Linked DNA regions of Callithrix jacchus. The protein of the gene in region 1 purifies or fractionates together with the protein of each later gene. This does not show direct contact. Links are inferred from orthologs where the notes say so. Each region holds a gene or a part of one and is shown on either strand. Other genes may lie near its edges.

Region 1 (3,645 bases):
TTTTCTTAATAACATTTTCTTTTCTCTGGCTTTATTATAAGAATATAGTATATAATATATAAAATATGTGTTCACTGATTATTATCAGTAAGGCTTCCAGTCAACAATAGACTATTCAAGGAGACAGATATCCTCTACACCTTGACTTGATCATTACACACTCTATGCACATAAAAAAATACTCGCATTAGTGTTTCCTCTTTCTGGAATCAAGTTGGAGGATCTATTTGTCCCAGTGTGAGAATTATGGATATAAGTCATCAGTGGGAATTAAGAGGCTATCAGTTAACAGTGTTTACCCAAATGGCTTTGAATTGGATAGGACATCCCTACTAAGTGTAAAGTCCTTTGTGTAAAGCAGCCTTAGGCCTTAACAACAGGACATGTGACTCTGTTACACGATCCCTGACTGTCTTGGGTTAGCTCCTAAGCCATCTAGTTTATGCTATTCATAAACTAGATGCCTATGAATTAGCTTCTCATGAAGAATTCTGCTCATTAGAAATGCTATGTTAGGGTTGGGCATGGTGGATCACATCTGTAATCCCAGAAATTTGGATGGATCACTTGAGGTCAGGAGTTCAAGATCAGCCTGGACAACATGGTGAAACCCTGTCTCCACCAAAAAATATAAAAATTAGCCAGGTGTGGTGGTGCGTGCCTGTAATCCCAGCTGCTCAGGAGGCTGAGGCACAAGAATTGCTTGAACCCCGGTGGCAGAGGATGCAGTGAGCTGAGATTGCGCCATTGCACTCCAGCCTGGGCAACAGAGCAAGACTCCTTCTCAGAAAAAACGAAGAAAGAAATGCTATGTTAGATCGAAACTAATTGAATTATTTAGCCTCTGCTTTGGGGGAGTTCTGAATGTAAAACATGCAGGAGTAAGGCAATGCTACCAAGCCACAGAAATCACAGTGATCGAGATGCAGAAGGAGAACAGCAAGAATTAGCAGTAGAACCAGCAGAGATGGAAGAGAAAATCTGGGTCTCTGGGAGAGTAGCAGACTTCTCATGTGCTGTCGAATTCTAAATATTGTTTGGTTTCTCTGTGAAGCCGGCTGAAAATGTTTTCTCTATTCTCTAAGTGGCTGTAACTTAAGGCACTATTTAAAAGTTAAACTTACCTTAATGCATTGCCCTAAAAACGTTACCAAAAACACAACCAAAGGGGACAGCTGTAACAACCTAGATAGAATGGTTTTCCATAGATTCAGAGAATGGTACAGACACACTAGCAAAATGCTTTCAGTCAAGTTATGTTTGACTTCAACTCCATTTCTATGCTTCCTTTCATCCAAGATAAAAATAGAAGAAAATAAGTTTGTCACTGGAGTACTTACCCAATTCTAAAGCTGCTATTAATGCCAAAGCAACAAGGGCTTCATTCTGCATTATTACATGTTCACTAGTTGCCATGGTAACTAGATGCTTGATGCCACCACTCTGCACAATGGTTTTAATTACATCCTACAATAAATAAATATCACAGAATTATAAACTTTAATTTTAAACATAAAGAACATGCATTAAAATCAGTCAACTCATTGTTGAGTGGTTTTGCGACAGTGTCCTGTATGAATCATTTTATTTAATCGCAGTTTTTTTTTCACCACAGAAGGAAAGGAAAAAGCTTTTAGCTTTAAATAAATTTATCAAAAGATGACAACTTAAATTGCCTAAGTAGAAAAGACCACTGTAGTTCATATTAGAAAACAGGAGGTTTAGAAGCTACCAAAGCCAAATAAGTAAAAGTACCATTACCTCAAATGTTGACCTACCTTAGGACTGACAAACAAAAATACAACTTAGAATTTTAAAAAGTTCTCAGCTGGGCATGATGACTCAGGACTTACTCCCAGTGCTTTGGAAGGTTAAAGGAGGATCGCTTGAGACCAGCCTGGCAACATAGCAAGACCCCACCTCTACCAAAATTAAAAAAATTAGCCAAGCATGGTGGCACACATCTACAGTCCCAGCTACTCAGGGTGCTGAGGTGGAAGACTGTTTGAGCCAGGGAGCTCAAGCCTGCAGTGAGCTATAATCACACCAGGCTGCACTCCAGCCTGGGCAACAACAGAGTGAGACCCTGCCTGTTAAAAAAAAAGTTATTTTTAAAGTTTCACGATAGGACCAGGTAGTTGTTCTGGAGATGTTCCAGGTAAAGCTTTTATATAAAAAAATTATTAAGTACTTCTTACCCCTTGATTTGATCTTATAAATTTAAAAACTGAATTACTTGCAAAAAGACTGAGCAGAACTTAAAATTCTCCACCTGCCTTCATTTCTCATGGTGCTTAGAGCTCTGTCTTCTCTCCATGGCAGAGGAGGCAGCAAGCTCTGGCTTCAATAAATCCTACTGACTGAGCAAATAATAATTTGCTCTCTTATCTCAGTAATATCATCAATGTCATTGAAATGATGTAAGTATATATCTCATAGTTTTTTGTAATAATTACAGTTATTACACAAAAAACCATACTATCTTGCAATAGTAAGATGAAAAAAAAAACAATGTTCACCTTTATTTCTAGTACTTATTTTGGTCCTCATTCCACTGAGGGTTCTGTTGTCTTAGAACTCTTGCACTAAATCTGATTTAGTGGGAGATCTCAATTATAGAATATTTTAAAAGTAATTTTCTCTGCTACTTTCACTATTTTTAATAATTTGAATTAAGGTCTGGATATTTTAAAAAACAGCCTCTGAGTCAGCTTCAATGATATATGTTGTAGTTAAAAATATTAGGGTTTCCTTTATGCTTCCATTTCATAACCATTATTTGAGGAAACTATTTTTCCACAGTATCTTTGCTTCGAGCCCAAACTTGTTTAGTGATCAAACATGCTAAATCAATAGAGTCCAAGAACTAAGTTTTTATGGTAACTGTGTTCTGGCATCTAATACATCTTTTCCTATCAATCTGTTTTAGAAAGGTTTTTCTAATCTCCCTAATTTACTGTTTACTCAGCAAAAGTTTACTTGAAATTGATATAGAATTCTTAGTAAAAAAAATTGCATAAAAATCACAAAAGAGCTTGAGTAAAGAAGACCACAAGACATGAACAGATACATATGCAATCATTTAAGGAAGAACCTTAAACTATCATTTTGTCCTCTGTTTCCAATCACCCTTAAAAGATAAGTGAAGCAGAAGGAAGAGTAGGGAATGAACTAAGGAAATGTGTACATCAGAAATGAATAGTGCCCTCTCTTTGGCCCAGGCATAGCTTCTTTTCATCTTACTTTTCCAGAACATTCACCTGAGTATTTCCTTTTTAAAATTCCTGCCCTCTCGCCAACTAATTCAGCAAATGTTTATTGAATAGCTATTCTATGGAATCACTTTGCCTTATAGAATATGGGATAAAAAATAGATAAAACACTGTATTTGTCACATGTGACCGAATAATATTGACGGCAACCCTTTATGGAGCAATAACTATATGCTGGACATTGTACTGAGTAGCTTATAGATATTAGCAAATTTTTATCCTGCAGAAAATCCTATTAGCTAGATATTATCTCCAGGTCATACAGATGAAGGAACTGAAGCTCAGATTAAGTCATTAAAGTTGCCCAAGTTCAGATAATCAGTAAGTGGTAAAGCCATGGCTCAAACCCAGGCAGTTTGGCTGATAACTGGGT
Region 2 (3,745 bases), on another chromosome or scaffold:
GGTAGATGGTGCACTTTCCATTTTGACAAACTAGGAAACTAAGGCTCAGTGAGGTTAAGACACAGATTCAGAGCCGTGGCTTATAAGCGGCAGGGATAGTACCCAGAGCAGGACTGTGTGACTCAAAGCAGGACGGTGTGACTCAAAACCGTGCCTCTTCAAAATGTCACCTCAGTGGTGAGAAGGAGAGCAGAAGCAGGGAAACCCAGACAGAGGACAGCCAGCCGGCTTCCCTGGCCCACCCCGCCCGGTCCCCAGAGCCCCAAGTCATACAAAGGAGGCTCAGTCCCAGCAGTGCCCACAGCTCGAGTTTGGGCAGCCTGCCTTCCTCCCCCTTCCCCCTGGGCCTGCCAGCAACGCTGGGTCACTCAGCCCCCGGCAGGGGACAATGACCACACTGTAGGGAGCCACGCATCCACCACAGCACAGCGACTGAGAAGCATCCACCAGGGAATCACCTCCACCCACTCTGGAACAGCCCCTTCCTCCCTCAGTCCAGCTCATCCGTGGGCCCTGCCCACCCCTCCCTGTGACTCAGGGCAAGGAGTCAGCTCCCCGAGCTTCCATGTGTCCCCCACCCCTAGCTGGTGAAGGACGAGCATCTGCACAGTTCATCACACCTTTGAAGCTTCCCTCACTTCCTCCTTCCCTGGGGAGGAGAGCTGACCTGCAGCCGGCTGAAGTTCCCAGGCTGCAGGAAGAGAGGGCGGGCTCTGGAGCTGAGATGAAGTCAAGGCTGTTGGGAAGGGGGAAGGGGCCAGAGTCTGGGCTGGGAGGAGCCCCAAAAGAAGAGACAAATGAGGGCCAGCCCCAGCACCAACCAGGCAGGGAGCAGTTGAGAAAGCGCCGGTAACCTGATCTCTGCCCCAAACCTAGCTTTTTCTCTCAGTCCCACATCCTGTCAAACTGGGCTGAGCTCCTCTGTGGCCGATACCCCACCACCACCTCACACTACCCTTCAGGAAGAGAATACTCCAGCCCCAGGCCTGTTCCTTCAACAGTAGATCCTGGGTGGCCCTTCCCTTGCCTCCACACACATTCACAAAACTGGGATGTTGGTCAGCAGACATAAAGCAGAGAATTTGTAGGAGTTCAAAGGACACAGCTGCACTCTTTCCGCCACAATGAGATTCTCATTCTCATGCTCTCTCTCCCGGATTCCCCAAAAGACAGGCAAGAAGGCATTTCAGCCGATCGCCTCCAGAAATGGAAACCATCCTCCAAAATGAGGGTTCCTTGGGAATTCTACCCAGATGACTGACGCTAAGATTTCTTCCAACTCCTCCACCCACTCCCATTAGTTCACCGTGCCCTGTTATGTAAGGATGCGCTGGGGTAGCCCCAACCTGGGGTGTGCAGTGCTGATGGCAGGCCATCACTACTGGGGTGAAAGTCAGTCACAGGTATGAGTATGCCACTGCTGTCCCACCAACAGGGTAATTCAGATAGCACCAGACTGGCAGGAGGCACAGGACAGAAAGCTGGTGAAGGGCCCTGAGCCTCCAGCTCAACTAGAACGCTTTCCCTCCAGGCTATGGCTGGGCTAGAAGTGCAAGCGGCCCAGGCCAGGCCAGTACACGAGGCCCAAGGCCAAGATGGCACGGACAACTCCCTATGAGACGCAGCCCCAGAGGGACTGTCCCACTGACCCCTTAAGAGGGGCAACCGAATCCCACACAGGGCCTGGAATGGCGCCTGGAACTTCTGGGGCCTTCCCCAAAACAAGACAGTGTGGAGACACCAGACCTCTCTCCAATCACTCTCTTGAATTCCCAGAGGATCCGGTTGCCTTTGCCGACCCACCCCAAACCTAGGGAAGGAATCGTTCTGGATATACCGCATTCTCAACTTCAAAAACAGAGTGAGGGCGAACTCGGCCTCGGGACCCCAGCCCCAAACCCCAGGATACAGTTTCTTGGTTCGAGTATGAAGGAGGAGGAAGATTCTCATTCTCTCTCTCTCTCTCATTCTCTCTCTCTTTCTCTCTCTCTCTCTCTCTCTCTCACACACACACACACACACACACACACACGAGTTGGATCCTTCCCATCTCCCTTATCCTCAACACACGCGGGCTCCAGGAACCGTCTAGGGCGGCGTCCAGCCCCGGCCGAACGGTGGCAGGTCACATCCCGCTCCTATTCCTGCCAAGACTCCCTCCCGGCCTGGAGGAACTCCCACCCCATCCCACCCCAGGTCCCCTGCGGCCGCCCGCCCCGGGGGCTGCAGCGTCTGAGCCGAGGCTCCCTCGCCCTGCGCCCGGCGGGGCAGGTTCCGGGAAGCCGGGAGGAGAGGGGAAGGGACTCCGACTCGGACCTCCGGAGGCCAGAGCCCCTGCGGGCAAGTCCGCGGCCCCCACTGCAGCCCGGGGAGGGGCCGACGCGGCCCGACCCCCGCCCGACCCGGACGCCGACTCCGCGCGGAGGGAACGGGGTCCACGCCCGGGCCGAAGCCCCCTCCCCGCCCGCGCCCCGATCTCCGGGTGAGCGAGAAAGGGAAAGTGCTCTCTCGGGGACGAGTTCCCGGGGCGCCCCGCCGCCCGCAGCCCTGGCCCAGGGTACCTTCCGCTGCGCCGCCTTCAGCTGCGCGGCCGGTGCCGGAGGCTCGGACTGACCCCGGGTCCCGCCCCGCCCTCCTCCAGCGCCGCGGCGGGGAGGGCGGTTCCGGCAGGGGGAGGGTCGGCCGGGGACGGCCCTTGGCTCGGCCCGCCCCGGCCCCGCGCAGAGCCGCTGGGGCTCGTCCCCTTCGCGGGCCGGGGCCAGGGGCCGGGGGCGTCTACCCTGCCGGTCGGGGAGCGCCACGGGGAGGTTCCCGGCCTGCGGAGGAGCCGGGCGAGCGGGGCGAGCAGGACCCGGGTGGACTCAGCCCCTGCCCAGCCTCCAGCCCCTAGGGGAGGACCGGCGTCGGGAAAGTTGAGAGGTGCTCGGGGTGGGGTCAGGAAGGGCCGCTGCTGCCCCCCTGTGGCCAAGCGGCTACCCGTCCTTCCCGCACCTGGGACCTCGCGGGAGGCGGGGCTGGGAAAGGGCAGCCCGGGACGCCCCAGGGGCCCGCGCGGTTGTGGGGGTTGGCGGGGGGGATGTCCACCCTCTTGCTCCCAGAATCGTTGCAGAGTAAGTACAGCTCAACGTCATCCCCAGACTTGAAGACCTTTCAGAGCCGTTCAGACCCAGACCACCGTTCCTCCTCACAATTCCCTTTCTTCCCCGGGCCTGGAATTTCCAGGAGTCGAATAACTACCTACTTCTCAAAGGGCGCTCCTAGAAATGCTTCTGGATCCCAGGTGGGAATTCTGTTCGCACGCCTAGATCTGACTTGGCGCATAGGATATTTACCTACACGCGCACCTCCTTTTCCTGTAAGGGAGCTGAGGAGGTGGGAATAGAATGAGCACGTCCACCAACATTTTATTGGCTTGTGCTTGGGACACTACACGGCTCAGCCCTTTCAATATCCATCACAGATCTTTGGGGTAAGTATACCCATCCCCTTTTGCCTGTAGGGAAGTTGAGGCTCAGAGAAATCAAGCGGCTTACACAAATGTTTTTGACTTGTGACAGCAAGAATTCATACAGCCGAGCCTGTCTGGCTCCAAATTGGTGGCCTAGCTCTGCTACTTCCCAGGCTCCTCCAACCTGTCCCTTTCCCGGTTGTCTAGCATAGTGAGTGGCACATAATAGGTTCTCAACAAATATTTGATGAATGAATGAATGTTAGGAGTCATACAGACTTTAAATATCTGAAGTAC

What was found. The genes of interacting proteins can lie anywhere in the genome.
Region 2: the proteins of RAP1GDS1 (region 1) and RHOC purify together in Homo sapiens (co-immunoprecipitation; 3 studies listed by BioGRID and IntAct, counting the BioPlex papers as one, with this or other methods). This does not show direct contact. The link is inferred for Callithrix jacchus from reciprocal best matches to the Homo sapiens genes RAP1GDS1 and RHOC.

What each region holds. Positions count from the first base shown.
Region 1 is NC_133504.1:99,079,583-99,083,227, forward strand, and holds part of RAP1GDS1 (rap1 GTPase-GDP dissociation stimulator 1), read right to left. Parts: intron 1,468-3,645; coding exon 1,341-1,467; intron 1-1,340. UniProt on the Homo sapiens protein: Acts as a GEF (guanine nucleotide exchange factor) for the Rho family of small GTP-binding proteins (G proteins) that stimulates the dissociation of GDP to enable subsequent binding of GTP.
Region 2 is NC_133508.1:150,668,797-150,672,541, forward strand, and holds the start of RHOC (rho-related GTP-binding protein RhoC), read right to left. Parts: upstream 2,612-3,745; 5' UTR 621-2,611; intron 1-620. UniProt on the Homo sapiens protein: Regulates a signal transduction pathway linking plasma membrane receptors to the assembly of focal adhesions and actin stress fibers.